Rattus norvegicus: one gene and its partners. The protein of the gene in region 2 purifies or fractionates together with the protein of the main gene of each other region. This does not show direct contact. Links are inferred from orthologs where the notes say so. Each region holds a gene or a part of one and is shown on either strand. Other genes may lie near its edges. The genes, in order: Reps2, Ralbp1, Ccdc6 and Aak1.

Region 1 (7,598 bases), on a different chromosome or scaffold from region 2:
AGAAAGAAATATCCTATTTAATAAAGATGGAAAAAAAGAGAAAAGGATAGATCTTCTTAGCCTTATCCCTAGGCCCTGATTTCACCCAAGGAAACTAGATGCATCTTCTAAGTCACAATTTTGGATTGCCTTTTCTTTTGTTGGAAATGGAGGACTTCCATCAGGTATTCAACCCTCCAATCCCATAGAGAATCCCAATATATAAATCATAAGGAGGGAAAGAAAAAATTCCAACCACATTGAGAACATTATGCAGATAAGCAAATAGTCTATACTAGCTACTATAATGCACTCTGGGGTTATAGGGAAGAATACTGTCTACAGAGTCTGGAACAGAGCCATGGTACTGTTATATGGTATCCTCGGTCTCCACCCTGCACAAATAATCTTATTTTCCAAAAGTTCATCTTTAATAGACAAGAAAGATGGGGTAAAGAACAATTAAGCCAAACTGTCTCTAAGCCAAATTAATGATGACACATTATTGAAATGTTTATTGCACATAACCTGGACTCAGCATTTTACTTGAACAAATGAATTTATTAATTCATTTGTGTGGGCAACGTAATACCAAAAGTTGAATTGGATTCTGACAATGATTCTTTTTTGATGTTAATTTCTATAAAAGCTGATGACAGTTTTACAACTAGTTCTTCTTTATTTGTAGCCTTTCTTCATGTTCTATTGGAGAATTAAGGCTTACAGAAAATGTCTGCTACTCTTTCTCTCATTTGCTCCAAAGACAGTACCTAGCAAATAGCACTGTGAATGGGAAAGAAGTGGGGGAGGGGTGAATACACACACACACACACACACACACACACACACACACACACACACACACATATATATATATATACATATATATATATATATATATATATATATATATATATATATATCACATACCTTAGGGAATCTGAGCTTACATCTCAAAACTGTGGTTTGGGAAAAGCCTATAGGACAAACATTTTGTATATTCTATCTTTTGCTCCCAGCCTTGAAAAATTATGAACATTCCTACCATGCTAGAAGCTGTATAAATCCTCTCATGTGAAAACTTAGGTCCTGACTATTCACACCGTTACCTGTGCATTAGTCTCCTAGCTAAACAGTACATGATCTCCACACTAGCATGCTGACATTCACAGAACGTATGCATAGAATAAAACACCATTTTTAATAAATACTGTAGGGATAGCTATATAATTACCATGTCAAATAATGAATTTGAACCTCATCTTCCTATGCGATACAAAATGAACTCAAAATAGACCATAGGAGTCAGAGTTAGCTATAAAGTGACAAGACTTTTCTAAGTAAATAATCTTTGTGAACTTGGACTAGGCAGCAGTTTCTTAAATATGACAATAAAAATATAAGTGCCAAGCCAGACATGGAAATGTCCACTTTCAACCCCAGAACTTGGGAGGCAGAGGTAGGTCTTTGTGAGTTCATGGCCAGACTGTCTACAAACTGAATTACATGTCAATCAGGGTTGCAGAGTGCAAACACACATACATACACACACACAAAAATGTAATCTTGGTGCTTCAAACTATACAAACAGAGAGAGAGTGAAAAAGCAACAAACAGAACAGGAGAAAATAATGTATCTGTTTTATATAGTCTATATATTTGTCTATATATATTTGTTTTATAAAGACTATATAAAAGAACCCATGACTCAACTATAAGTGGTAAAGGATATGAGTAGGTATTTATCCAAAACTATATTCCAATGGCCAATAAGTATAAGGAAAGATGCTCAACAATATTAATCACTAAAGAAATGCAAATGAAAACCGCAGCGAGATGCCTCGTTACAGTCAGTAGGATGGATGACTGCCTAAACATGACCTGAAAAAAGATGACATGCTAATGGAGACAGGGAAAAGTTCACACAGCCTCAAACCTACACAAAGAACTATAGGCAATCAAGGAATGCTGAGAGCAAGAGACGGTCTCCAATACCAAATGGTCGGCCCTAAAAACATACATACCAGTAACATCATACAGACTGAGCAGGTTGTGGTTATGTATTCAAGAATGCTATATGAATGTAATAATAGTTAATGAAAAAAGAGGCCATGAATCTGAAAGAGAGCAAGGTGGGGGCACATGGAAGGGTTTGTAGAGAGGAAAGGAAAAGAAGGACTAATGTAATTATATTATAATCTCAAAAAATAAAAAATATTTTTACAGAAATTAGATAAATATTGATGAAGAAGTAGAGAACTAAATTCCTCATACATTTTGAAGACGTAAAATGGAGTGCTCACTGTGAAAAGGAATCTGACACTTCTTCAATGTATTAAACATAGCATTATGACATAAATCCAAATTTTACCCATATATGTATTCCCAAGAAAATGAAAACACAAAGTCCACACAAAAACATGAACACAGATAACACTACAGCATTGTTTAAAATGTGTAAAAAGGTCAAACCACCCAAAAGTCTGATTGGTGAATTATTGGATAACATGTGGAACATCAATAGAGTAGAATAGTATTTCCCATAAAAAGGTAAGTTCTAGTTCATGCAATAACATGGATGAACCTTGCAAACACTAACGAAAGTAAAAGATCAAGCACAAAGGAGCACATGATGCATGACTATATCAATGTAAAATGTAAGCAGGGTAGAGACAGGGGATAAATTAGTGGTTTCCAGAAGCTGGAAGAGCACTTGGGGAACAACTTCCACTGGGCATAGAGAATCTTTTGGAGATAACAAAAAAGGTTGCAAAATTATAGTGTGTAGTGATGATCACATGACTTTTGTGAATATACTAAAAGCCACCAGAGTGTATGCTGTGTAAATTATATTTCAACCAAGCTGATTTAAAATAAAAAAACAAAAAAGGGAAAGCAACATCTCTCTGTGTGAAGTTTACCAGATGCCCTGCAATCTACCTTGGACGGCAATGCGGCTACCCGTGACTGACTGGAATTAACATGAAGCTGAGGAGGAAGAAGGCAAACATAGCCATCTTTGTGCCTAACAGAACTCTGTCCTGGTTAGGAAGGTGACAACAATGCAGAAAGTCACTTCCCGTACTGCTTGATGGCTTCAGGTAACTATCCCTTTGGGGAAAGAAAAATCCTCTCAAGAAGAATACAAAGAACCCAAATGGAACCCAGCTTCTACAGAACCTGTCGCTGTTCTTTCCACAATAGTGTAGCAGAAGGAAAGCTACAGAGCCCGTGGGACCTGAAAGGGCTCGACAGAAATATCACAAGTGAGTTCAAATACTTGCAATGCTGGCAAGCAAGGATCACTTCAAGTCAAGTGACAGCACTGGGGTTTTGCCCTCAATATTTCACCTTATGTCACTACAGAAGGACTGAGTCAAGTAATAGATCTCAAAGACAGCCTTCTAAGGAGGGTGGTTTGTCCAAAGCACAAATGTCTCAATCCTTAGTCCTGTCCATGGTGTCCCCACAATTCCTCCAGTATCTGTTCCAGATGGTGAGGGGGTATTATGGAAGATCTGCCTGCACGATTCAGTAATGAGCTGACTAATAACGAACTCTACCTGAAGATGTTTTAAAATCATACCCTAATTCTGCTGAGAACTGAGACTATGATCACTGAGTGGGCCATGTGCCCTAAAGGAACAAATCAAACAAGATCAAACAAGAGATCATGAGATGAGGGGAAATGGCCCTTGCCATATTGACTCCTTCATAGGAAAATCTGGGCCAACACAAAAAGGGTTAAGAAAGAAAGAAAAGAGAGAAACTAAACACTCGCCTAGGACTTGCCTGCTCCTTTGTGTCAGGCTAACAGGAATATAAAGTCTACTATCAGATTGGGAGCCTTTAATGCTGTCACCGTCGTCATCATCATGACAGAGATGACTATGACAACCATTAAACCCTGTGGCTAGGAAAGGGAAACAAATTAACAAGCACATATGCATGCATATGTAAGAGGAAGTTCCCCACATTCTTCACTCATCTTTTTGCCACTTACTTCTGTACTGTTGGATGGGGTTTCACCATCGCTGCAGGAGCTGCCCCTCCAACTACAGCAGCAGACTCTTGGCCTTCTGTAGTTTGATTTTCAGGTCTGAATTTCCTACGAATGGGCTTTGATGGAGGCTGAGCATGTGGTACATCCTGTGGATTAAAAAAAATCAACCCAAAACATTCAAAAACTTTTTTTAAATGATCCCTCCGCCTATCATGCCACTATTCACAGTTCTGTGACCAAGATCAAAAAGACCTCTATTCAAACTGCACATCACAGACATGTAGGTAATACTTGACTAGTGCTGGAGGCTGCTGGCAGTGAGTCCCAGCAAACAGCCTACTGTCTGTCTTTTTAAAATACACTGGGAATCTACCACTCTTGTTGTTAACAAAGAAGGACACCAAAATAAGATTCTAGTGACATAACCCTTGTCCTTTTTTAATGTTGTAAACAATCTATATTTTCTTGTCATTTAAACTTGTCACATAGTCTTTATATAATAGCAGTTCTTAGCCTTTGGGTTGTGAGCCCTTTGGAGGTCACATATCAGATATTCAACACCTCAGATATTTATATTACAATTCGTAACAGTAGCAAAATTACAGTTATGAAGTAGCAATGGAATAATTTTATGGTTGCGGGTCACCGCAACACAAGGAACTGTATTAAAGGGTCGCAGCATTAGGATGATTGAGAACTCCTCTTTTATAACCACAAGGTCTATTCTAATTGAAGACAAAACTGACTCTTGCCTCACTCTGGGCCTCTTTGAAGAATATATTTTAAATCTGTAATGGTCCTAACCATATGCTCATCATTCTCTTACTCCTGATCCCTACATGAAGTCAAACAAAAAGACAGTGTGTTCAAGGAAACAGTTGACCTGCTTCCTTAGGGGACCCCATGTTACCTTTCAAACCCAAGGTTCACTTTCTTTGCTAAGAGAATGGCCTAAGGGATAATACCAAAGAACAAAAAGAGGGTGAGAAAGTAAACGAGGAGCACAATAGTGAGTAGTACTGACTGTGAAGGGCAGGGGCCAAATGACATGGTCAGACTAAGGCAAGGTGTCAAGATTTGAGAAAAGATCCTGGCACAGGTGGGGATAAAGAAGGGGAGAACCAACACAGACTAATACTTATGGAAATGAGATAGTGAAGTAAACTGCTCTGCATGGTAACTTTAAAAACAAGAAAACAGCAACAACAAAACAGAAAAGAAAGAAATCATGGTACCAAGAAGGGGAGGCGGTCCTACCCACAAAGGGTACTAATGGGGTCTTACTGTTACCTGGGGGCATTGTCTGAAACTAGATGGTTTCTAGATTCTTGCTGAATTTCCAAATGAGCACATGAATGGTAAAGCAGCAAGAAGCTCGACTGGAACAGACCATACAATCTGCCCCATTGGTGGATAGTATTGGATACACTGCAGAACTCAGTGGGCTATTGGAATTATATAAGCCTTTTCCTCACTAAGCATGTCCTTTCCTGTGACATATCTCATTTTAGTCATATGCACACCCAACCATTTATAGACATAAGATGGTAAATAGGAGGTTTTCCTTAAAACTTCTTGCAGAAGATATAGTTTGCCTTAACACACACGCATCCAAAACTAATTCAGGCCAGAAGGGCTCTGTGTCTCATCCCTGATATGTTCTGGGGCATTTTCAAAGGAAATTGACCACAAATGTGTAACTACTAAAAGGCAGGAGTAATTTGTGCCATTGTTAAGTAGGGTATGCATGAAACATGATACAAGTAAGGGTCCTAGGTTGCTGGCTGCACTTTAGGAGAGCAGTGTGTGCATATCTGAAATCAAGTGGAGACCAAAGTAGCAAAGCTATACCAGCTACACTCATCTGCTTCATTAACAAATGTATGGAGGCTTACCAAAGTCACCCAGCTCTCCCCACATTTTATATTTAATTTTATATGTTGTGTGTATGTGCACCATGTGTGTACAATGAGCATAGAGGTCAGAAAGTAGAGTGCCACCATATGGGTGCTGGGATCTGAATCCAGGCCCTAGCTATGCAAGAGCATAAAATGCTAAGTCATCTCTCCTGCTCCTCGAAAACATTTTTTTCACCTTGCCAAACACAAGGCACCCATGTTTAGTTTTAAGGTTGGAGAGACTACAAACTACCAGGGATATCCATGGTCCAGCCCCAAACCTTCAGGATTCTAATCTTCAGAAAGAATTTACAGTTCAGAATTGTAGATCGGTCACATTCATCTTGGTGGAAAATTTCAAGTTTCTGTAAGAAGCCCAGGGGTCTTTAAGCTAGCACCGCAGCCATCTTTCTGCTGCTCTTACCTTCTTTGTTGGACTGCTTTCTGCAGCTTGGGAAGGAGCTCTGTTCATCTGAGGATATAAGTCAGCTTCAGATGCCGGTTCAGCCTGTAACAAGGTCAAAGAGAAGGTATATATGCAAACCCCAACTGTGTAAACATATGACCAAGAACATTTCGGAAAAGAGTCACTCAGGGAGAACAAGTCACACTGGTCTAGACCAAGCTGCAGACATGCAGTTATCCTTGGGGAAGATCTTCCACCACAGACCTCGCTATTCCCTTCCACGTCTCCTTCCAGTCTAAAGAAAAGGAGCCATGAGTATCTCACATACAGATTTCTTAAAAACTGACACTTTACAAAAATTATCAAAAAAAAAAATACTAGATGAGAAAGGGTTAGGAAAATGACTTAAAGAGTACCGAGGAAAACAATCAGTACCATAAAAGACCCATAATTTTAATATTAAAATCCTAGTAAAGAAATACTGTATGGGCTGGAGAGATGGCTCAGCAGTTAAGAATTGCATTTCCAGAGAACTGAAGTTCAATTCTCAACACCCACACCAGACAGTTCACAACCCAGCTCCTAGAGTTTAGATGTCCTCTTCTGGCTTCGACAGATAGACAGACAGACAGACAGACAGACAGACAGACAGACAGACAGACAGACACACACACACACACAGAAATACACACACAAATCTTTTAAATCTTTTAAAAATGAAGTACTCTAATAAACATAGCCATTTACCTTTAAAAGGAAAGGAGGTATGTAATGGCTGTAGTGATCAGAAAGGCTGACTATTAAGTCTCAAAGACTGATGAGGGATACCCCCAAGCACTTCACGACATAGAACACAGCCAAGTGGAACACAGGGTAACGGGACTTACATAAGACTCCCTGTGTCCCTAAGGCTGTGTACCTTCAGCTGTGGGAGAGCCCTTTGCTTTCTGCTGCTATCAGCCAATGATGCAAAATACTGACAGGATGAATAAACCAGCTGCTTATGAGCAAAGTGACTTCTACATTTCACTGTATCAGGCCTTCATTTGCCTGAAACTTCACAGCACAAAACACTCAGATTGTAGCGCAAACAACTGCCACACTGCCCCTTGCATGGCCATCTCTAGCCTCCTACAGTGTGCCTTCTTTCCCATAGTGCTACTACTGAACAGACTGGCTCCCAGGGAGCTAAGGTTAGCAGAGCCTGGTTGCCTCTTATACTCTCCTCATTCACCTCCCTTCCAAAATGGTATCCCTGGTGATCTCAGGTGGTGGAGAAGTGACACTCTCCAAATTGTAATTCCCCTCTCTC
Region 2 (7,598 bases):
GGCTCTGTGGTGGACACTTACTTGCTATCAGAAAGCCAGACAACCTGGGTCCCCTCCCCTCCCCAGGACTCACATGATGGAGAGAACTGATTCCGGCAAGTCCTTCTGACTTCCACAGGTATGCCATGGCACGTCCACACCCACGCGCACACTCACACACAAATAAACGTTTTAAAGTAAGGAAAGAATACAACATGGTCACCTTGGTCTATGGCTGCACTATGAAAAATGCATAGTTCTGATGAATACGCTCCCTTAGTCTAGACTACATGAGACATCTTGAAGGGAGCTACTGGGGTGTCAATTGTAAGCCTAATTTAACTAATTTTACCAAATACACACAGTCAAGTAGCCACCCCCACCACCCTGTTAGGAAACATCCCGTTGCTACACCGCTTGTGGTGCCGGACCCTCTCTATCCCCACAGCCTCTGTCATGTCTCAGGGGAGCTGACCAACAAGTCACTCGTCTGTAGCCTCACACTTGGCTTTAAGATGTGCCTGTCTACTGTGCTGCATGAACAGTGGCCGAGTGAGAAGCAGCACGCGGACCCCTCAGCTTATGTCCCCCAGCAGCTGCAGGGCTCCGGCTGCTGCTTCCAGCTGTTACGAAGTTGCCCGTGTTTAGTGAAGGCTTAAAGGTTGCTGCTGCTTCCCCTAGAGGATAAATGCTGTGAGTGGATTTCTGGGGTGTATGATAAACAATCGTACAGTTAATTTCTGGGAAAGTGACAAGAGGATAGCAAGGTTTAAACTGGTGCTAGACTTTGTTCATATTTTCAGTCATTAATCCACTGAATGATATGTCTTTAAGTAAGTTCTCCCTCAAAAGTAAAGCCAGCATGAAGGAACCTGGGTGTATAGCTAAAAAATAAGGCAGCAAGGGGAGGGAATGGTCGGGGAGAGACTACAACTGGTAAAGGGAAGAAGACAAGACAGCCATCTCTTGTCATACCCCCACACTGCTTCTGAGCTCAATACCAAAGTTCTGTGTGTGTGTGTGTGTGTGTGTACACAAACCTGTATAGTCATGTACTTGTGCACACATGGGTAGAGGCTAGAAGTCATTTGTCAGATGTCATTCCTCAGTCAGTTCTCCGACTTAATTTTGAGTCATGGTCTCTCATGGAGTCCTCTGCACTGGCTGGCCTTCAAGCCCAGGGCCCTCCTGCTGTTCCAGTGCTGATCATAGGCATAAGCCATGACACAAGCACATAACTCCTAGGTGTGAGTGCTGTGGACTGAATTCTGTTCCTTACTTTTGCCAAAGCAGGCACTTCACCAACTAAGCCATCTATCTCCACAGCCGTGGGCCTTTGATAACAGACACACAACTAAGAGACACAAAAGGCAAACATCTACCTCTGTCCTATGGCAGGGACCCTTCACGTAGGGCTGCTGGACAGTGCAATCTGCCCTGTGAAACTCAGGCACACGTCCAAAGCCAAGCATGATGTCCCGAGCCTACCATCCAGCACATGCCAGGCAGAGGCAGCAGGATCAAGAGTTCAAGGTCACCCTGACTATAGAACCAATTTGAGACTACTGGGCCACAAGAGAGCTTATTAAAACAAACATACAAACAAACAAACAAACAAACAAACAAACAAACAAGAGGTCATAAGACAGGAAACAAAGGGCAGACCATTAAGTGAGCTAGAGAGAACAATAATATGAAAGGCTTCCTTCCCAGGCTACACATCCTGAAAACTGGGTGCGGTTATGCCAATCTTAGACTTGTCCCCTCAACAAGCACTCTAACCTCAAAGCAAAAGGCCTTAGGTGCCTGTCGCCTCAATAACCCACTACTCCACTCTCCAGGTCTGAGAGGTGCTAACTAGTGTCTGTCTGTAGGCTGTGCTACTCAAATCTGCTGCTGGATCTGCATGTGGCTTGTAAGATCTTTCAGGGTGTGGAGTTTAGCTTTGATGGCTGAAAAACTGAGTCCAAACGCAAGCTTTACACAGCAAACTAGCATAAAACCAGAAGTGGGCCTTGTGCCCTCCCAGCACAGCAGCCACAAGGTGAAGTCTCTACAGCAGGAGCCCTCCTGGGCATCAAGCCCTGAATTTCCATTCAAAACTCAAATTTCTGAGCAGTCTCTCTCCAGAGGTCTCTCACCCTTACAAAGCTCTGTTCAGACACAAACCAGGCAGAAATAATAAAAGCGATCAACTTGTAATTAAAAAAAGAAAATTCTTTCTAAACTTAATTTGATTTATACCATGCTAAAGTATGAATGACATAGAACAAAAAACATTTGTGTGAATAAATTTCCCACCAGAGAATTTAACGCCAACAGACAGGTATGCTCCTTTTAGAAGAAATAACTTACAGCAGTGTATAGAGGGCTCGGCCACACTCCCTGCAGATTTACTACACAGGATATAAGAGAATGACTCACTTGTCTTTTAGCTTCCCTCAGCTTTCTCTTGAGGGCAGTCAGAATCCTCTGTACTTCCCATAATCTTTCTTCTTTAGACAAGTCCTTTATCCCGCCCTGCAGATCTCGATGTAAACAGTTCAAAAGGAACTCCTAGATAAGAAAAAGACACAGAAGCTGCCATCTCACTATCCGACAGCAGCTCAGTTTTCATTCTGCATAGCAACAGCAGCAACTCCCCGCCCCTGCCGACCTCGTACGCTCTCCCATTGGTGATACGGGGGATTAGACCCTCATTCCATTATTCACCCACATTTTTGTTCCTCCTCACAGTAACTGATAAGTAGAGCTCAGCCAACAAGAAAAACAGGCTTGTGGTAATAGTCACACAAGGCCATCAACCGCCTCAAGGTTTTACTCAAGTCTTGAATTTCTTACCAGTCAGTCTGTCTCTCCATCCCCAACACACAGACACACAGACACACACACACAGACACACACACACACACACACACACACACACACACACACACACACACACACAGGGTAAATGATTAAATATCCCTAATTTCCAGTATCTGAGCTGTGAAGCATGAGGGGTGAGGGCATAGAAAAGCAAACATGTCTGAGATCAGCTGTGGCTGAGTCCTTCCCATGTGTCATCTCCCACACTCATCCCCTGAGCTGATCCACTCTAAAATGAGAACACCAAGGTTTAAGGATGTTGAACAATTTGTCTAAAATTAGCATGTCAAGAATGAGCAGGGCTGGAGAGAGGGCTCAGTGGTTAAAAGCACTGACTGCTCTTCCAGAGGTCCTGAGTTCAATTCTCAGCAACCACATGGTGGCTCACAATCATCTGTAATGAGACCTGGTGTGCACTCATATATAAATTAAAAAAAAAAAAGAAAAAAGAAAAGAAAAGAATGAGCAGAGTGGGAATTTAAAGCCTTATGCTATTCCTACCATGGCTGCTCACTTACACCATATGAACTAGGACCAGGTAGAAGTGGAACAAGAAGAGCATGTTCTTCATGCCCATGACAGGAGCAGAGCTCAATGGACAGGTACTTGCATAAGGCCCTGGGTTCCAGCCCCAGCACTGCACAAAACTGGGTGTGGTCCCACAACCTCAACACACAAGAGTCATGGACTACACACAGGAACAGCTCCCTACTCCCCAAGCTAGGGTTCACCAACCCATTCCATAGCCCTTTGTGGGCAGCACAGAACCAGGCAGGGAGGGGCAGGGAAGGGGCAGGCAGGGCAGCACACACCTGTCTCCTGATTTCTTCCTTGATGCCTGCTTGGGTCTCTGGCAGTGTAGGCATTGTGGCCATGTTGGACCAACGCAGAGGTCTCGTTACTTGCTTCAGGACCACGGTGCCAAAGAGCTCTTGCACGTGTGTGAAAAGCACATACAGGACCCGGTTGCTGATCTGCAGAAAACAGATTTAGTGTTGCCTAAGACCATGGAAGTGATCTCTTACCTACCTTTATCAATCACACTGTGCATTAATTCTGGATGCCATGACATCTCTATAGGAGGGACCAAAGATGCTTCACTAATTATCAATTTAAGAGCACATGAAAGCCCTGCTTAAGTCAGGTTCTCTAGTACCAGAAGGGAAGAGCAGTAAAGGACACGAAATGCAGTGCCACTGATGTGCACTCTCCCGTCGTCACCCACTAACTGGACTTAAATACCTACTGGTCACTTCCTATGTACTCTGAGAGCTTCTGTACACACAGTGACCTTCTGAAGAGGTTGGCACCTCTCCGGCACACACGCAGCAACAGGCTCCAGGATGTCCCCGTACTGGGAAGCCAGAGCTGCAGGATGGCTGAACAACCAAGAGAGGACATTTTTTCCTGGCTCAGACTCCCTTGTTCTTGGAGCTTCTGTTGAACAAGCGCTCAGGTTATGGCAACACTGAGTAACAATGCAGCACTGACCAAATTCCAAATCCAGGCTAACAAAAATGATCATAATATTTGGGAAATATGAGAAAGTTTTTAAAATATTAACTAATAACTAATGAAAATATCTTTAGCAAAACAAAGTATCCTCTTATAATAGAGCATAATGACATATGGTCAGGACCCCACATACCAACCAAAAAGAGGACTTTAATTAAATATTAGAGTGGTGCACACCTTGGGAGGAAGAGGCAGGAGGATATCTGAGTGGGTTCAAGACTAGCCTGGTCTGCAGAGTGAGTTCTAGGACAGCCAGGGTTACATAGAGAAACCCTGCCTCGGAAAACAAACAAACAAACAAAAAACAAAGAACAACAAAACAGAGTCACTGTCTCCTTTTTTCATCCGTCCCCCCCTCTCTCTGACACATAGAATATCAGCTCTTCTAAAGACTTTCTTTGAGGAATCAACTGAGTAGAGTGTGACACAGGCACCGTAGGCCAGGAAGATAGCGTTCGTCATGCAAACATAGAGACCTGAGTTCAATATCCCTAATTCACCTTAAAAAAATGTTGGGCATGGTTGTGCACACCTATGCAGGGTCCCTGAAGCTTGCCGGCCAGCGAGGGACCCTATATAAGAAGAAAGGTGGACGGTTGGTGCCTAAGGAACAGGAACAATGTTGTCCTATGACCGCCACATAAACATGCATACATCTACATGTATGGCTACACACACGCAATTCCCACATACAAACATGAACACACATATACAACAGGATGCCAGATATGCATGTGAGTAAAACGAAAACACAAGCAATGTTCCACTTAACTCCCTAACTGACTTCTCAGACTGAGAGGCAACACAGCACCTCTCTCGGGATCCATCGTACAGGTGAAGTCCTCAGTCAGACCTGCCAAGCAAACACCACAGCCCTTTGTGCTTGATCCAAGCAGGTAGCACATTCACACTCCACAAACTATGCTCCTATCTCTCCATGGTGGCACTGCCCACACATGGCCAGAGAAGATCTGTGGTCAGGCTGACGCAATATCCTCCTTGGAGTCACTGTTTTATCTGCGAGTCAGCCACAGACATGTTCTCTAATTTCCCAGTAACAGCACCAAAAGAGTGTGTGTGGACAGGACCCGTACCCGGACGGTTACACCCGTACCAGGACGGTTACACCCGAACCCGGACAGTTACACCGAGTGCGTGTGGCAGCACCGTACCTGGACGGTTGGGCTCAGCACTATGGAGATGTTCTGGATGTTCATCTTGGTTTCCAGCTCCTTCGCGATGACGTGGTCCATGTGCACAATGAGCCAGGAGAGCAGAAGATGGTTGTACTCCGGCAGTTCCCTGAGCAAGCGCTGGAACTCCTGCACTTTCTCCACCTCTGTGGTCCTCCCACAAGCCTCTTCAAATCGGGGCATAAGCTCTTTGGTAAGCAAATTCTCGGGAAGGTCTCGCAGATACTGCTTCAGCAAGCTGGCTACAGTGTTAGGTTCATATTCTTCCAAGTTTGGAGACTCCTCTCGGTCATAGGCTGCTTTCAGCTCATCTACCTTTGATTTGATTCCTTAAAATATTAAATTTAGGAGAGAGAGAATATCAGAATCAGACACACTCCCCCCCCCACCATACACACCTGCCGCAGACACAGGAGCCAGGCTAGGGCATGTGCCTGTGACCTCAGCAGCACTAGAGGCTGAGGCAGGAGGACTGCTGCCAGTTCAAGTCGGCCAGCCTGGGCTACAGTGAGGCCCTTCTCAGAACTAAGCTCAAATCCTCCTGGTAGAATCCGTGTCTGCAGATGAGTCACAGAACTCTCTATGAACACGGCACATAAAACCACAGCTGGAAACTTAACATTCCCAGAAACCATGGAATATTAAGAAAATGTTTAATCCAGGAAAAAATTTAAATATAATGTAAGTTAGATGAAAATTCAGGGGGAAATGAAGCTATAATCTGAGCACATACACTATGCACAGAGAGCCAAGTTCCTGAGACCTCAAGACGGACACCCAAAAATGCAACTGTCACATGCAGCCGTTACCAGCTGTTTCTCTGTAAATAAGTTATTCCAAATGCAGAACCAAGTTTCCTAGCATAACAAGCTTGTGGAAAACTCTTCTCTATTATATAACACCCACCTAATTTCTACTTTCAAGTTTGAATTCTTTTTTGGTTTTGGTTTTGGTTTTAGAGACCAGGTTTCTCTGTGTAGCCCTTGTTGTCCTGGAACTCCCTCTACACGAGGCTGGCCTTGAACTCAGAGAGACTGGCTGGCCTCTGCCTCCGCAGTGCTGGCATTAAAGGCATGGGCCACCACTGCCTGGCCTAAAGTCTGAATTCTTTAAGTGCTTTCTTAATCTGAACCAAACCAAGCTAGAGCAAGAAAATAAAGTCAAGCTTCTAAAATACAACCATTTGGTTTTCATATTTGAGTGGAAAACACATGAATCCAACACACCAAGTGCACGCTTTTCAAACATCTTATCAGACTTCTGTCTTCAGTCCCATCTGTTTAAGTGACATAATCCAGTGACAGTAATCAAAACAGCTGCTTCTTTTAAACTTAAAACTACAGACCAACTACATACAACTACAAATTAAGTCTACTGTAAACTGTCATCTCATCTGAACATCTTAATATAATGCTAATATTTGAAATGATACTCCCATCTTATGTACAAACCTTCGATGAATGGCATTATTAAAAATCTGTACCTTATCCAGATTAACAAATCTTATTTTGGTGATCTTTATTTTAAGATAGAAAAATTTCCATTTCTTTTTTTATGACAATCTGAATAAAACAAGATTAACAACAACTATCGCTGAGACTTCAGTCATTCTCTTGCCCTCCTTGTCCCACCAGCTCTTGTCCCCTCACTCTCTTGCTATGTTGTTGATCATGGCTTCTGCAGATAACACCTCACTATGTGGCCCAAGCTGGCCTTAAACTCACCATGGAGCCCAGGCTAGCCTCAAACTCACAATCCTCCTGCCTCCTGAGTGCTAGAGGTATGAGTGTGCTCCACCATCCACCTTCCATTTGTGTGACTTATAAAACATTTACTACTCCACCACAGACAACCAAAACAGGTTGTCAGTATTATTAAAATGTTTGTCTTTGGGGTTGGGGATTTAGCTCAGTGGTAGAGTGCTTGCCTAGCAAGCGCAAGGCACTGGGTTCGGTCCCCAGCTCCGAAAAAAAAAAAAAGAAGAAAAAAAAAATGTTGTCTTTTAAAAACTGGAATCTTCACAAGGAATTCCAGTGAGAAATA
Region 3 (8,366 bases), on a different chromosome or scaffold from region 2:
TAAGAACCTAAAAAAAAAACTTCTACACAGAGAGAAAGGTCACTTCACCTTTTTCTGGGGGCCATTTTTAAGTCTTAGAAATGGAAAATTGTATCTGAGGCTGCATGGTAAATTATCCCAAACACACTCAAGGAGCTGTGTGTAGGGTGTCCTTCCTTGGGTAAGGTTTTGAACTTTTGAGATGAACTTGAGAGATGGTTCTGAGGTTAAGAGCACTAGCTGCTCTTCCAGAGGACTGGATTCGGTGTCCAGCACCCACATAGCAGCTCCCGTCCCATCTCTCAATGGGCTCCAGCGCCCTCTTCTGGCCTCTCAGGGCACTGCACATACATGGTGCACATACATGCATACAGGCAAACACATATAAATAAATCTTAAAACAAAAAAACTTTTATGTCTGTATGGCCCTAAACTTCTATAAGGAAGGGATCTGTTTTATAATCAGAAGAGACACTTAAATCTTAGTGATTTGTTACAGGCCTTGATTTCCAAACTAAATGCACTGCATTTCTGAGCCTGTCTAGAAAAGACACGTGCCTGCGGGAGGCGACTGAACACTGCTCACACATGTCACCCCAGAAGCTGGCTGAGAACTCGTGGGACTGCCCATTGTGGGACTGTCCGTCAACTGTGCTCCCACACCTGACCAAGGATCACCCATCCCTGGGCCACCCTCGGGGTCTGCGTCAAGACAATCGGAGACCACACTCTTCCGGGATTTGCCCCACGCTAATCTGGACTAACACACAAACACTATGTGAAGGAGTGACTAAACATTTGGTTTGTGTTTATTTCCCACTCATAAAAAAACCAAACCAAACCAAAGCCAAACCATCTATAATCAGTAGCCTGCCTCCGCTGCTGACTTAATGGGTGAAATTGGATAATCCCTCAGATCACTCTCGTCGCTCTCTAAGGCCCAGATACAGTACACTGAAGACTACCTCTGACCCCTCCCCTGTGTGATGGACCGCCCGAGAGGCCTGTTCATTCTCTCTCTCCACACACAGGCTTCCTCTCACTTCAGATACTGAGAAACAGACCAAAGGATCCACTCTTCTCGAACTGGGAGTCGTGGTGGGAATGAGACAGCTATACCAGAACAGACAGGACAGCTCAATGGCTAGAGCCTTGATCCTCACCGTGGGAAAAAAAAATTCCAACTATGAGGCACCACTATAAGCCTGAGAAAGATCAGAGTCTAGGAAGTTCGGGACCAGATTCAGTGAGGAGCGAGGACTCTTCTGGGCACTTTAGAACGGGGTTTGGGAGTTTCTTACAAGAGTAAACACAATCAATTACCACATAACCCGGGCAACCGTAATCCTGGGTATTTACCCAAATGGGCTGAAATCTTCTGTCTAGACAAATGGATGTGAATGCTTAAGGCAGATTTATTCACAACCGCTAGAACTTGCAAGCCAACTAAGACGCCCTTCAGTAGACAAACGGTCACATGCGAGCCCTAAAAAGAAACACGTTCAAAAAACAAATAAATGGATACTGTCGAGGGTCAGGGGATTCGGCGCCTGCTGGAAAAGCATGGAGACTGGGTTCCGATTCTCAGAACCCAAGGAAAAGCCATCAAAAACTCCATGGGCCTAGCAACACCAGCTTGTAATCTCAGCCCTTCAGAAGGTAGAGACAGAGGAGCCCCTGAGCAAGCCGGCTAGCTACGCCAACCTCATCTGCAGGCTGTGAGAGAGACCCTGCCTCAACATAGGAGGTAGAAGACAAGTCAAAGAACAGTGTCAGGCTTCCACAGACACACGCGTGTATGCCCTATTCGAGCGTGCACACATGCACACGCCAAAGATCAGGAGGGATCCTTCCTTCGGTCCGTTTTACCAGGTGTGACAGAGCAAACCCACGTGACATCCCGAGGGGGGGGCGGGCAAAACAGTTTCCAGGTCTTATGGGAGGAAGAAAAAGAAGGAGGGCTAAGGGTTACCATGAAGACAGAATTGTGCTGGGTGATGTGTTGATGCCTTCATCCAAGGCCTTAGAATATACAACTCCAACTGTGAGACCTAATGTCAATCACAGACTGTGGGTACACGTGGGTCCCTCGACACTAACAACTGCCCCTCTCTGGAGCTCTGGAGGCTGGTGCTGGAAGAAGTTGTGTCTACAGAGGGCATAGGAAGCGGGCGGGAGAAACTATGTTAACTTTACCATACGCCTAAACCTATTGGGGGGAGAAAAGTATATTGAAAGTCAATACCCTTATAGTGTATCTTATCTAAGTACAGACGTCATCACCTGTACTGGTCATCGACACAAAAATGAATTATCATAACTAGAAGAATAACAAGAGTGAAGAAAGCAAGAAACAGGATGATGCCCTTACTCCTCTGCCTGTCAAATTAACTAAAAGTCTGGAAACCAGCAGAGGCCTGGATGAACTACCTTATCCTCGTCAGAGCCTTTCCAGTTGGGTTTGTCAGGAGGTGCACACCTTGACGCTGCATGGATTCTCTGGACTTAAGGCAGTTCCAGAGGCGGGACCCCCACGCCCGAATCTTCACCCCAGGTGAAAAGCCTCGCCAACCTCTTTCCTGCCCTTGACAATTAGCCCCTTAATACACCTGCCAAGACTGAGGTACCCAGGTGGGCCGCTGGCACTTGTAAAACTCTGAGGCCTGCCCCACACTTGCAAACTGTCAGCTTGAACGATTTAACAACCTCACCGGATAGGACTTGAGAACACGTACTAGCACGAGGGCTCTGACTGGAAGTTCGCTGTCGTTCAGAGCGAGCAGAAGAACCAGAGCTTTCCCCACCTCACCCAAACATGTTTGTCCCTGCAAGGCCAGTGTGTCTGTGTACAAGAAACAGACCTACTTATGGGTCAGCAGGTCAAACAGATAACCTTCTCAATGTTTCCTGTCTCCACACAAAAAGCAGCCTGACCTGATGCTCTCAGGCACAGAAGAGGCTAGAGAGGTACCCCCTCCTCCTGGGAGGTCTGTTCCCTTCCACTGCTCCTTCTCTGCAAGAGACCAACGCTGTCATTTATGACACGTTTTCAAGCAGTGTTCGTATACATCAAGTTTCAAATAAACGACCTCCACTGTCCCTCTGTTCCTTCAACCACAACTCTGCTGAGTCCTCTTGCTTAGCCCAGAAAAGGCTTAAGTGGTCATCTCCACAAATGCCTTTCCTTGACTATCAAAAGGCCAATCCAACAATTTGCAGCCTGGCGATGTACGCTCGTAGGTCCAGTTCCACCAAACCGGGGAAGAGCAAGAAAGATACCTCTACAAAACCAGCGGCTATTCAGGTTGTAAATCACACTGCCTCCCTAGTGGAGACCTGCTATCTACACAGACCATGAAGCCATGAAGCCAGGCAAACACACACACACACACACACACACACACACACACACACACACACACCCACCACCACCACCACCACTTTTTCTTGGCACAAGGGCAGCTTAAATTTGTCCCGTTCTCGTCTCCAGGATGTGATCCTTGACCCACCACCCAATTTCTTTTTCTCTCTTAGAAGGTTCCCGTCTAATCAGCTGCACGCAAGCGGCTCTGACAATTTATCCTCCTTGATTTCTTGACATTTTCTTCCGTGCTGCTGGCTGGGAAACTGTTTTGATCTGAATAGGGTTGTCTGTGGGGGATTCTGCATGTTAATGATGTGGAGTTGGCAAGGAGGAGAGGTGAGAGCACAGCGCGTACTTTTTCTAGTTACGTTTCGCCTCATCACCGCTTCGGGGGCCTTTCCACTCTGCTACACCAGGAGGCTGAGCTCAGACTAATCTTGCCCTCTTCCAGGGGAGCCTCGCGGGGCCAGGTAGAAACAGAACAGATGGCCTGTGTTCCCGTCAAGTACCTAGACTCACAGGCAAGTACTCCTAAGACTCTCGAACCAATGAAGGAGATGCACGTAAATCCTTGCTCAGCCAGGCAGTCCCAGCGGCCACCCTCCATCATGGTTTCAGCTCCAACCCTGTCCCAGTCAGCGCCAGACGTTACACTCCCCACTACTCGGTACCCGCCCACCCTCTGGGCCCAAAAGGACAGGGATTCCGAACGGGGTGCTAGTGTAGCCTCAGTGCCCGCCCTTCCCTTTCCATCCTGGCCAGAAAACTCCACTTCCCGGATTCCGGGCCACTCTCCCTCCCCCTGCGCTGGCGATCCAGCAAAGAGCCGTCCTCCTGCCAACTGGGGGCCCAGCCCAGTGGCACACCCCGTCTCCCCAACTAACCCCTAGGCAGAACCCAGCTCCGTCCACTCACGGGGACTCGGAGAGGGTGTCCCTCGATTCAGAGCCTTCAGGCACCCTAGGGTTGAGAAAGTCCCACCCCGCCCCCCCAGCCACGCCGCCAGCCTCCAGCCCTGCCTCGGAGGGGCCTCCACCCGGGGCGACAAGGGGACGTAGGGAGTCTCCCCAGGCACCTCCAACACCCTAAGGGAGGGAGGGCGCTCGTGGACCCCAAGGCCGGCTCCTTGTGCCCTCAGGCCCGCAGCCCCGCACGGGGGCGCGCACTCGGGGGTCCCCACGATCCGCGGGGTGCACTCACGATGGTCACGCTGGCTTTGCGCAGGTCGCGGTTCTCCTCCTGCAGCGCCTTGCACTTGAGTTTGTAGGTCTCCAGCTCGATCTTGAGCACCTTGTTCTCCTGCTGCAGCGAGGCTAGGCGGTTGGTGAGCTCCTCCAGGCGGAACGGCGAGATGACAATGCCCCCCGACTTCCCGCCGCCGCCCCCGCCGCTGCCGCCCGAGGTCGCCGAGCAGGACGACTGCATGGCTGCCGGGCCGCCGCCCGCCGCGTCCGTGTCGCTCTCGCTCGCGCTGTCCGCCATGGCGGGGCGAGTGGGCGCGGGGAGCCGGGCGCGGGGAGCGGGGACGCCAAGGGCCGGGCGCGCGGCGAGTGGGCGCGGGGCCGGGCGCGCGGCAGCGGGGGAGCGGGGGAGCTCAGAGCGCGGCGCGGGCGGGCGGCAGGGCGCAGACGCGCGGCGGCGGCGGCGGAGAAAGAGAGGGCGCTTCCCGCGGCCGCGCGAGCTGCTCCGCCAGGGAACAGAGACCCCGCCCGGACTCGGGCAGTACTGCAGCGCCGGGGCTCTGGCGCGCTCCGCGGGGCGGTCCCCGCAAAGCCCCAGCCCCAGCGCTCGCCTAGCAGCTGCACGCACACCCTCGGGCCCGCGCTGCCTCTCCGCGCACGTGCTCCCGCCCCAGAGGAGCCCCCTGCGGTCCCGGGCCCCAGCCCCCCTCCTCCCGCCGCGCCGCCTCTTCCGGAGAAAGGCGGACCCCACGCCGCGCCAGCCCCGCAGGTGCCCGGACACGTGGGAGGGGCAGCCAGGCTCCTTGGTCCACCCCACCCTCCATCCCTGGCGAGCTGGAGCCTAGCACCTTCGGTCGGCGCCGCCGCGCGTGGATCTCCCGCTGGGCACCCCGTGCGGACGCTTGCTTGGGGCTGAGGACAGAAAGTTCCCCTGCAGTGAACCGAGAGTGTCTGTCTGTCTGTCTCTCCCTCTGAGTGTCTGTCTCTCTCCCACTGAGTGTGTATCTGTCTCTCCCTCTCTGTGTGTCTGTCTGTGTTCCTCCCTCAGAGTGTGTCTTATCTGTCTGTGTCACTCCGAGTGTGTCTGTCTCCTTCTCTGTGTGTGTATCTGTCTGTGGGTTGCAGCCACAGGTTAGCCTAGCTTAAGAAAGAATTTTGCAGAGGCGACCAGGCCCTGGTGCGTCAGTTGTTGGACCCAGGCGCACCCCCCGTCCACCCTTTTTTCTCTTTTCCTCCTGCGAAGACTCTGCCTAGGTCACGGGAATAGGATTAAGAAACCGAGATTTGTCTAGTCAAGAAACGGGAGCTCCCCCCACCCCCCAAAGGGGTTGAAACACATTTCAAGTACCAATTTTCCAAAGTAACTGCAGGCACAATGCTAAACAAATGGCCACGATTAAGTGAGGGGAACTGTATAACCATTATTACCTACGGCTCTCCAACTCCTACAAAACTCCAGGAGGTAAAAAATAAAACCGTAATTACTACTGTAGAGAGCCAGCTTCAAAGAATCAAATTCAAACTCAAATACTTTTAGGCTCCTCCCTCTTAGGAGGGCTCGCAGGAAACAGGCCTAGCAGGTGAGAAAGGTCTAAACACTTCACCCTTCTGATACAAAACAGCTTTCTCTTCTAGGTTTTTAAAAAAAAGAAAGAAAGTGAAACTAACCAGACGGGTTTTATTATCCAAGTTTAGTCAACGGAAGAACAAACTCATGGAAACAAAATGCAAAAAAATAAATAAATAAATCGGGGGAAGGGAGGTGAAAAGTGGTTTCTGGCTGTCAACTGCTCCTGGAGTTTTGTTAAGTGCTTAGTATGTCTACCTCGCTTTCCTGGTTCATAACCTTGTCTTTAAACCTACATTCGATCGGGCGCTTAGGCTGTTTCATCCCACGGCTAAACAGGAACTGGTCTCACCTCGGAATAAACTCTTAACCTGCCAGGGGTGAAACCTTGACCTTATGTTTACCAAGATGGCTGCTTCTAGTCAACAACTCAGAAATGCTAACTGCGGGGAGCCCCCCAAACTTCTCCTAGGTCCTCCTAGGGACTTCTTGAACACAGTCGGTGAAGCAGAATTTAACCATAAAAGTTAAAAGTCGAGGTGGGGAGCCTTTGGCATTGCTCTCCAGAAGCACATCGCCAGTGTAAACAATTCTCTGCTGAGGGAGCCACTTTGTCACTGAAGTTTACTTGGCTCCTTGACTTTGCCATGTTGGGTCTGGGACAGGAGACACTCGGCTCCTTGGGTTACAGGAAGCTTCTGGAAAAGCGACTCGCGGGGTGAGGTGGATGGGGAAAGGCCCGGGACTGGGATTTAACTGCATTCTTTCCGCTTTATTCAGTGCAGTCTGGGGTGGGCGTGGCTTCCATACTTAACAAGTTTCTATTGTTCTTTTCCCACCCCACCTCCAGACTGCGGGGTTTGGAGGGCTTACGGCCTGGGGAGCATTCCTTCTCGGGGGTCAGGGGGGATTAGCTCCCTCCCGTTTATCTCGAAAACTAACTGCCTTAGGAAGCCGACTGCAGGCTTCCAGTCGGCAGAGGGGTGGAGTTAGAAGTCACTGGTTTTCTTAAAGGGCCCGTGTCAGGCTAAGCTTGAGAACGCCTTGGTCTTCCTTAGGGGAACTACATTTTGACATGGTATCTGTAGTTAATAATCGGTTTGAGAAGATATTAGAAAAAAATTTCATCTTCTGAAGCTTCCCTGCTGATACAGATGAGGATAAATTGGAGGATCCCCCGCCCCCCCCCGTTCTGGTTTTTATTGTTACTGCAAAACAGAAGCACATCTAATTTTCTACTTCTTGTAGAGCTGATTCCCCTCATAAACAGACGATTTGTCACGACGCTGGTTCTGTAATAGCATTACAATGGAAACACCAGATACAAAACGGATCGGATCAGTATAAAACTCCTCTGCTTTCCAGGGGAAATGAATCAGAGGGTAGATGCTAGGCTGAGTTCCCTGGAGGAAGACGGAGCAAAGGAAGATTAGCACCTCTAAGGCAGAAATAATGGAATCGGCTTCACCCTGAGCTTAAGTCACAGGGTTTATGGGTAAAATAAAGGGTGCCTTGCTGTTGAGGCGCGAGGGGACACCTAAATCTTTGTTTCTCAAATACAACTTTTGCCTTTTTGATTTGCTGGGTACCCTTTAAACCTTCATGTTCTCAATGAAGACATAAAAATGGTGGAGTAAATCCTAGGAGATTTTTGTTGCTTAGTTGTAACGACCGTGCGTGTGTGTGTGTGTGTGTGTGTGTGTGTGTGTGTGTGTGTGTGTAATATGTCGTCATACATCATTGGTTCCTTCACTAGAGGATCCACACAACTTCACTCAAACTCTCAGTGATTTGGTGGATCCAGAACGCACTGCTAGAGCCTTGAAAAGACTTGAAGTGGACCAAACGTAGGCTGGCTAGAGGAATGCGTTCCCGTGAGGCAGTCCATTCAAGAAAGATAGTCCACACCATTTAGAGCCTGTGTCCGGCTCCTGGGCCCGAGTACTGGCTGCATCTGTAATGGGATCCGATGCCCTCTTCTGGTGTGTCTGAAGACAGCGACAGTGTACTCATATAAATAAATGAATATTTTCTTTAAAAAGAGAGTTGTTCTGTGTATCAGCACGCCCCTGTTCTGCCTGTTCCTTGTCAACTAAAAATGTCTCCAGAGGTAGCCAGGACTACCTTCCCCCAACCGCACACCCACTGCAAAAACAGTTGTTCTACTAGAGATAGAAGAAGAAACCCCCGAAATGGTGGAAGTGATGTCATTAAGCACTTCCGGCTAGATATGCTCAGCAGGTATTAAGTCATACAAGTGGAATTCAGCTAAGGG
Region 4 (7,598 bases), on a different chromosome or scaffold from region 2:
TTCAGAAACTTTGGGAATTAGGTTTGGTTTTCTACAGGGAATACCAATTTGTGATATTTTCTGGTACAGTAATTACTTCTATTCATCAGAGAGAAGATCAAATAAAAAATGTGCATATGGTATTTGTCCATATTTTAACAACAAATCCCTGATTATATGATTAAAATAATAGAAACCTCTGGATTCTGTTTTACTGCAACAGGTAAGGTTGTGTGTACCCAATATTACAGTAGGAAAATCTATCTTCAAGCTTTTGATGATGTGGGCTTTTATTCAGGTAACTAGCAAGTAGCAATAAGGTTATAACTGCTCATTCTAAGTCTGAGTAAATGCTGAGGAAAGCTGTAGGAATGGTAGGAGCACAGAAGCTACCTGAAGGACATCTGGATTGTACCATCCTTCATAGTCCTTCTAAACCAGTAGCACAATGTTGCTAGGCTTCTGCTGTCTCACAGAGCACCTATCCAGATTAATTCTGTGTAAACAGCCAACAGCAGCTCTGAGGAGTAAAATGACTGTTCAAGGTCTTAACTGTTAAGGTCTGGATGAGGTCCCAGAAGCCTGAGCTGCCCCAGCCCCTTCTCTTACCATCCTGCCTTTGCCAGCTCTGAGGCATACCAGTGAGACAAAGTAAACGGGCTAGCGAACAGGCGTGCAGCCCTCTTACAGTTCAGGCTTGTTCCACGCATCTCCAGTTACCACACACAATGCTCTTCTCAGGTCACTCCCTCAGCTTAGGCTGATACTGATCTAAGGAAGGCTGCACTGACCAAGTCACTAGAAAGTATTCCTCAACAGAAAAGCAGCTCTGCCCACAGAAGGCTTATTCTTGAAGACCAGCCCAGTCTCTGCTGTCTCACCCAGGCTTCAACCATCTTCCTTGGTAAAAGTCTGTGAGTTTTCATTAGTGTCTCTATTAAGCCTTTTTGAGCCAAATGACTACACAATATATCTCAATATAATTATGCTTGACACACGGAAGAAAGGTTTAGAGACACTTAACCTAATTTCTAGACTGCACTCTTCATAGCTGCAATTAAACTGGGAAAGTAGACATTTCATTATATTGCTAACGTTTGTATGAGAAAAAAAACAAATATGAAACACAGACCTAAAACATCCTTATTTAAAAATAAACATTTCCTTCATTAGTTTATACATTCTTTCTATGTCCAGGAAAGAGGACACAATCATTTCCTGTCCACCAAGGGGTTAACCAAGTCCTGCTTCCCTCAGCCCTCGTGTGGAGAGCTCCTCCGTGATATCCCCATCCTCGCTGCACACCGCGTCTTGCTTACTTGTGGAAACATCTCTTCTATCAGAGGCCTTTCCTCAGCTCATCTAGGTTCAGCTGGCACAGGAAGTATTTAAAGTCAGAAGGAAGACTGAGTGTCCACTCTTCCTGCTGTCACATTGATGGAGACAACGGTGGCCCTCCAGAGGGCAGTGTTTGCAGGCTCGTGCTGCTGGTGGTTCCCCGCCACTTAAAGTGCAATGTGAGCAAGAAAGAACAGCATCATGTAGAGAACACCATGGGGTTTGGGATTGTACAGCCCTGATGAACTGAGAGTCCCCGTCCAACCCTGGAGGATGGCACTGGAGGAAGGGAGCTCCCTGTGCCTGCTCCTCTTCTAACGGGTGATTTTTACCAAAGTGCTCTCCACACACCTTGATGTAAGTACACAGGGGTGACCAGGAGGCATGTTGTAGAGCAAGTGCAGAGCCTCTATTTAACTCTATAACAACAGTCTAAGGTTAGTGAAGAACTATTCTTTGTTTGGTCTTTGAAATCTAGGAAGCCAAGGAAAGCCAGCCGCACATATTTCATCAGCTTCAGCCTTCGACTTAAACACCAGAGAGAAGGTAAGCAGCCAGCCGAACTGTGCCCGGCACACTTATTTCTGATGATCTGAAAATAAACAACATGCCCGGGTATACAGAGACAGAGGCTGCTGAAAGCTTCCAGCAAGACATAACTCCACCACTCTAGGACTGCTATATGGTTATACACAGGAAAGAGCAAAACCCTGTACAGACATCTGATGTCAGACTTGAAATGCCAAGTGGAAACAGAACTATTCAGCATCTTCATTTATACACAATTTACAATATTTGATTCAAAATAAAAAAATCACAAGAAAAATACATCTGTTTCTGCTACAATTCCTTCCCTTCCCCTCCACCCCCCATGAAAAGTCTTCTAGTAAAAGGTATCATGTTCCCACCACTGTCTTGTTTTGGTCTGATTCTGAGATCCCAGCTTGGGCCAGGTAACATGGAAGGATGGCAATGCTTGGTGTTTATATCACATACACATTTATTCAAGGATCACAAACACTTGCAGTCACACCTCTAGATTTGAGAAACCACGATTCAATGGAAGCCAGATAGCTAGACAAATGCCAAGAAGGCTGCACATGGGGTGTAAGATCCCTTGGCTCAAACAAGGTCAAAGTTGGCTGGCTAGAGCTGAGCTCACTTTCTCTTCACAAACACATCCTACTGGGTCTGCCCTGTTGAAACTGCATGGCCTTCTCCAGACTTCTGCCTGGGGTGAGACCAGCCATAGCTGCCCTGTCCTCATGAGTGCATCAGGATAAAAAGCAGGATGGACACACATTCATCAGCATCTGGGAGACGGGCTACAGGACTGACACGGGGCCATTCCTAGCAAGAATGAGACAAAAAGTGTTCAGCACAGGCTCAGTGACAGCCAAGCTTCTGTGAGTGGATTCCAGCAGAGGTGAAGCTCAGGGCGGTTAGCGCTTGAGTTAAGATAATGCTATTGAAGATGGGGAATGAGAAAACACAGCACACTAACGAGAGGAGCTGGCCAAGGGATGGATCTGGAGGGGCAGAGATTTTTCTTTCCTTATCATTTCTATAGGAGAAGGAAAGGGGTAGGAGAAAGGAGCTTGAGGGCCCCTTATTTGCAGATTTAAAAAAAAAATCATTTTTCTCATAACTCCGTAATGAAAATGTATATTACGGCATGAAGGTTACAGAACTGTGTCTGCTCCTGGCTCACGGCTACAGGTCTATGAGCTGATCCACCAGCAGCAAAGACCTGGCTAGGTTGGGAAGACTGGACTCAGAGCTCCCACTGCTGTTCCTAGAGTGCCCACCTGGAAGCGGAAAGACAGGATTCAGTACAAAACAGAGGGTTAGGGTTAGATGTGCAGAGCAAGCGAAGGAGAAAAAGGAAAACAAAGAAACTCAGAGAAACAATATCTCATATTTAAAACGTCTTACATGTTGATTTCTAAACCTAGCCACCGCACCACCACCTCCCACCAACATCTTCCTCCATGCCCACCGCAGTAGAGGCAGCATACCACAGAGATGCTGCTGGCTCCAAACGACATGTCTGCCCGTAAGTTCTGGCTGCCATGCTAGCCTCCTGCCAACAGACAGCCATCTCTCACAGGGTAAACACTAGTTTATGTTGGGGAAATCAGCTATCAGGGTATTGTGATATGAACATGCTTTCCAAAGTAAGTAAGTGGTGCGTTTGGTGTTTTGTGCATGCTCTCATGGCTCAACCTAAGGAAGGAAAGACATGTTCCATAATGTCCACAGAGGCAGAAGATACCAAAATGCCACCAATAGCTCTCTGGGCAGAATCTGTGTCTATCACATATTTTCTAATTATGATAAAAATGCTCAACACTTCTGACATAGGCCTCAGGCTTCTACCAACCAGAGAGACTTTCTTTTTGGCTTGACATTTCATAAAAACTAAGCCTTCTCTAAATAAATCCAAGTCAGTGAGGTTTAAGCTACAGAGCAGCATCTCTACCTGCCTCACATGCTGGTCCAGCCTACACTGACTGCCATCATCCAGGGTCTTTCAGCAAATGGTGATGCTCCGGTTCACCATGCAGGCTAGGGCATTGCTTTGCTGAGAATGGACGTCAAGCTCTTCTCTTCTCTCCAGCCTCTTTCTTACCTTGTGTGTTTTTGGTTATCAGTACAGGAATAGGGTCAAACTCATCTTCTGCCACCTTTTCGGAGCCCTCAGCGACACCAAACCCTGAGATGAGATTACTATCTTCTGCAGCTTAATATAGAATACAAGCACACAAGCAAACAACAGAGGAAGAGATTAGCAAATGAGAGAACAGAAGGAGGCACCAAGCCTAAAGCCATGAACAACCACTATTCTTAAAGGTGAAAGCTCTTATTTTTGTGAATTGAAATAAAAGTTGGAAACAGGAAAACACAGGTGTATAAAAGTAAAACTTTAGAATTTACAACGTTAAAATTTCATACATAACTAAGAATTCTCCATTGTGTAGAGATCAAATGGTTGTGATGTGTCTCTGCAATGTTGATATCTTTATTGAGTCAATAGAGGCCTGGCTAACAACACTTGAAACACTCAAAGGAGAAACTGTAGAGGCCGAGGTATGGTTCCGTGGCAGTGTGTGTGCTAGCAAGTGCAAGGTCCTGTGTTAGGTTCCAGGACCCAAAACCAACAATGGAAGAGAAGTAGCCAATCTGTACAAGGCAAGCAAAGGCTCAGAGTCCCTGTTCTGTGAAAAAAAGACTTTTCCATAATTCTGAATGCTGGGTCACAAAAGCACACACATTGAGACCACCAGCACAAGTTTCTTAGACTATCCCCTTCTCCATTTTTGGGTTTGCTTTTTGTTTTGGATTTTGTGTTTTGTTTGTTGTTGTTGTTTGAGACAAGTCTTACTCTGTAGGCCTAGTTGTCTTGAATTTACGGAAATCAGCCTGTCTCTATCTCTTGGCCTGGGATGAAAGGCAGGTGCCACCATGCCCAGCATGTTCTCCACTCTAACTAAAGCTGGCCCCAGCAACGCTGCCCGAGCACCGTGTGGCAGGCAGTGCTTCTCTGTGGTTACACATTGCTACCGCACATCCCTTCCAGCCATCAAAGTCCACACAGGTAACTTCCTGTGCCAACCCTAAAACAAAACCAGCCATCATCCCTGTGACCCATGAGCTCTGTTTTCAGTTAGCTCTGGGCTTTCTTCTTGAATTTCCTTTAGGAGGAGCTTAACTTGTTCATTTTCCAATACTTCTCCAACACAGAAATAAAGCTTGCTATGGGCAAGCAAGCTATAACCACAACAGACCTCAGAACTTAATCCAAGCTAGGCTGCCTGCAAAATCTCAAACCAGATGAAGCCAAAACTAAGAAGTGAAAATGGTGGACCAGAGAGAGAAACCCAGTAATCAATTATGACTCAAAGGTGAAATAATATTAAAATGTTCACAGCTCAATTTTTGAGGAATGATTTTTTTTGAGGATATTGTTTCTTTACACTTAAAAACCTTGAATCAGATTTGATAAAATGATTTTACTTTTTTTCTTTTTGTTTCGTTTTTCAAGGCAGAGTTTTGGAACTAGTGCTATAGTTCAGGCTGGCCTTGAACTCACAGAGATCTGCCTGCTTCTCTGCCTCTACCTTCTAAGTATGGCTATGACTTTACTTTCTAAGGCTAATCAGTTGGCCCACCTATCCACCTATGTGGTTGGTCCTTAAGGCACGCGCTCCCAAGGGTAACATGGAATGTATGTATCCCAGTCCTTGTCAGAAAGCCATCCTTGCACCTGTCTGCAGTTGCTTATTAACTACTGTGAGAGGACCGTAAAAGACTACAAACCCATCTTTTCTACAGAAATGGACAGTTTGAACACTTTATTAACAAAGACTTTTGATAAGGGAAGTCCCCAGGAGCTGTTCAACTCTTCTGCTCAGGGATACATGTGGGTCCAAAAAGAAAGACTTTACCTTTATGAGTGGAAGCAGAGAGTGCTATGGGGGCAAACTCGTCCAGAAGGTCAGCAGTAGGGTTAGAAAGCAGAGAACAGTCAAGGAGAGAGTCTTCCCCCGTGAGAGAGTCTGAGTCCAGTTACCAGCATTCCAGGCAACGATGGCATTAAACAGCACACAACAATATTGTGAGGTTAGAGCTTGACTTTCAAATTATTGCATTTACAGGCCATATATACAAGCCAAGATACAGAAAGAAAATCAAAAGAAACATGTTAAGTTCTCTGGACTTTTAAGCACAAAAACATGTATGTATCCTAGATTCCATTTGGCAGTAACACATACGTATAGATTTTTAGCTTAGAAACTGTTCGTTAAACAATAAACGAGTCTGTGATTCAAACACACTTCTCGGTAGACACTGTTTGGAGAAAGGACTTTGAGGCTAGAGTCTCACTTAACTTTTCCACTCAGGAATCACACTGACGTGCTAACACTGGTTCCCCTTTGAAATGCCTCTTGCTACTTTCTTTCAGTAAAGAGTTGGGGAAAACCCAGAGATAAAACATTGGAGTGTTTCCTGGAGAAACATCCAAGTGAGGAACAGGAGAGGCCCAGCTTTGATTACCATCACATAAGGGGCACCAGCAGACAGTCTTATATCAAAGCATGAGGACTCAGACAAGACTGAAAGACTCAAAGCAATACTGGGTCCAAGGATGATTTCAATGTTTCCTGCAAGCTAAAGAAGAGTCAACTCTAGAGGATGAAGCTCTGATGTGGGAAAGAATTGTCAACAGGAAGGGCTGAGCTCCACAGAACCAATGCTGAGGACATGCCGAGGCAGCCATTTGTCTGCGCAGACTCCTGCTAAGAAGGCAGAGGAACCTGCTCCCAGTGGAGACAGTCTTTTTTCCCCTTTCTGGTACTGAGGATTGACTAGACCTAGGACTCTGTGCATGCTCTGCAAGCACTCTGTCACTGAGCTATATCCTCAGCTCTGGGCAAAGGGTAATGAATAGCAAATTCTGTAATCAGGGAGTCATTCTAAAGAAAAATATGGCTCCAGCTCTCTTGCTTTCTTGCTCTTAATCTGTCCTTTCGTCTCCCCCCCCCTGCCCCTCCCTCTCCTATCCTCTCAACTCCCTTCCCCATGCCCCGAATAGACTCTATTCCATACAAAAGAAAGAAAGAAAAAAAGAAAAACATGGCTCCAAAAAGTATTCAGTTCATAAGCACAAGGATATACTCTATATCCAGAAGCAAGACTGTAAGAATAATTCATAACATCCACTATAAAACCAACGAGAATGCAAATAAACAGAGGTTCATCTGCCACAGGTGGGAAGCCCTGCTCTGAGGCTCCTGCACTGACCAGCTCTGCAGCTCCCTGACTGACCTGTGCGGTTTGAAGTCACAGATTCCGTGTGAGATGGGAGGCGCTGGGCAACAGGTGGCTCCAGCCCAGGTATGAGACTCTCAACAGCAGCATCAGCTTTTTCTTTTGTACCAGGGCATGAACAGTGGAGAGGAAGGGATGAGAGAAGGAAGAAGTCAGAGGCTGCTCAGGAAAACCTGGGAAGGCTCACTTCCACAAGTCTCGGGCCAGATGCAAAGCACAGCCTGTGCACCTATTCCTGCTGCATTTGGATGGCTGAGCATGCGTGCACAAGGTTAACCATCAGGAGTGTACGCTGATCACTGGCCCCTACAAATAACTTTGGGATACAAGCTACTTTCAAGCAACACGTTCTTCCATGTCAGAAAAGACTGGCTTCAAGACAGGCAATAGTGACTCACACCTGTACCAATAACTATGGAGGCTGAGACAGGAGGATTGCCATGAGTTTG

Evidence for each region.
Region 1: the proteins of Ralbp1 (region 2) and Reps2 purify together in Homo sapiens (affinity purification with mass spectrometry; 3 studies listed by BioGRID and IntAct, counting the BioPlex papers as one, with this or other methods). This does not show direct contact. The link is inferred for Rattus norvegicus from reciprocal best matches to the Homo sapiens genes RALBP1 and REPS2.
Region 3: the proteins of Ralbp1 (region 2) and Ccdc6 purify together in Homo sapiens (affinity purification with mass spectrometry; 3 studies listed by BioGRID and IntAct, counting the BioPlex papers as one, with this or other methods). This does not show direct contact. The link is inferred for Rattus norvegicus from reciprocal best matches to the Homo sapiens genes RALBP1 and CCDC6.
Region 4: the proteins of Ralbp1 (region 2) and Aak1 purify together in Homo sapiens (affinity purification with mass spectrometry; 3 studies listed by BioGRID and IntAct, counting the BioPlex papers as one, with this or other methods). This does not show direct contact. The link is inferred for Rattus norvegicus from reciprocal best matches to the Homo sapiens genes RALBP1 and AAK1.

The regions. Positions count from the first base shown.
Region 1 is NC_086039.1:35,924,246-35,931,843, reverse strand, and holds part of Reps2 (RALBP1 associated Eps domain containing 2), read right to left. Parts: intron 6,389-7,598; coding exon 6,305-6,388; intron 4,129-6,304; coding exon 3,983-4,128; intron 1-3,982. UniProt on the Homo sapiens protein: Involved in ligand-dependent receptor mediated endocytosis of the EGF and insulin receptors as part of the Ral signaling pathway. By controlling growth factor receptors endocytosis may regulate cell survival.
Region 2 is NC_086027.1:112,909,528-112,917,125, forward strand, and holds part of Ralbp1 (ralA-binding protein 1), read right to left. Parts: intron 5,885-7,598; coding exon 5,535-5,884; intron 3,822-5,534; coding exon 3,660-3,821; intron 2,536-3,659; coding exon 2,404-2,535; intron 1-2,403. UniProt on the Homo sapiens protein: Multifunctional protein that functions as a downstream effector of RALA and RALB. As a GTPase-activating protein/GAP can inactivate CDC42 and RAC1 by stimulating their GTPase activity.
Region 3 is NC_086038.1:18,522,282-18,530,647, forward strand, and holds the start of Ccdc6 (coiled-coil domain containing 6), read right to left. Parts: upstream 4,947-8,366; 5' UTR 4,826-4,946; coding exon 4,544-4,825; intron 1-4,543.
Region 4 is NC_086022.1:120,989,099-120,996,696, reverse strand, and holds part of Aak1 (AP2-associated protein kinase 1), read right to left. Parts: intron 7,249-7,598; coding exon 7,147-7,248; intron 5,877-7,146; coding exon 5,766-5,876; intron 4,061-5,765; coding exon 3,950-4,060; intron 3,126-3,949; coding exon 3,031-3,125; 3' UTR 1-3,030.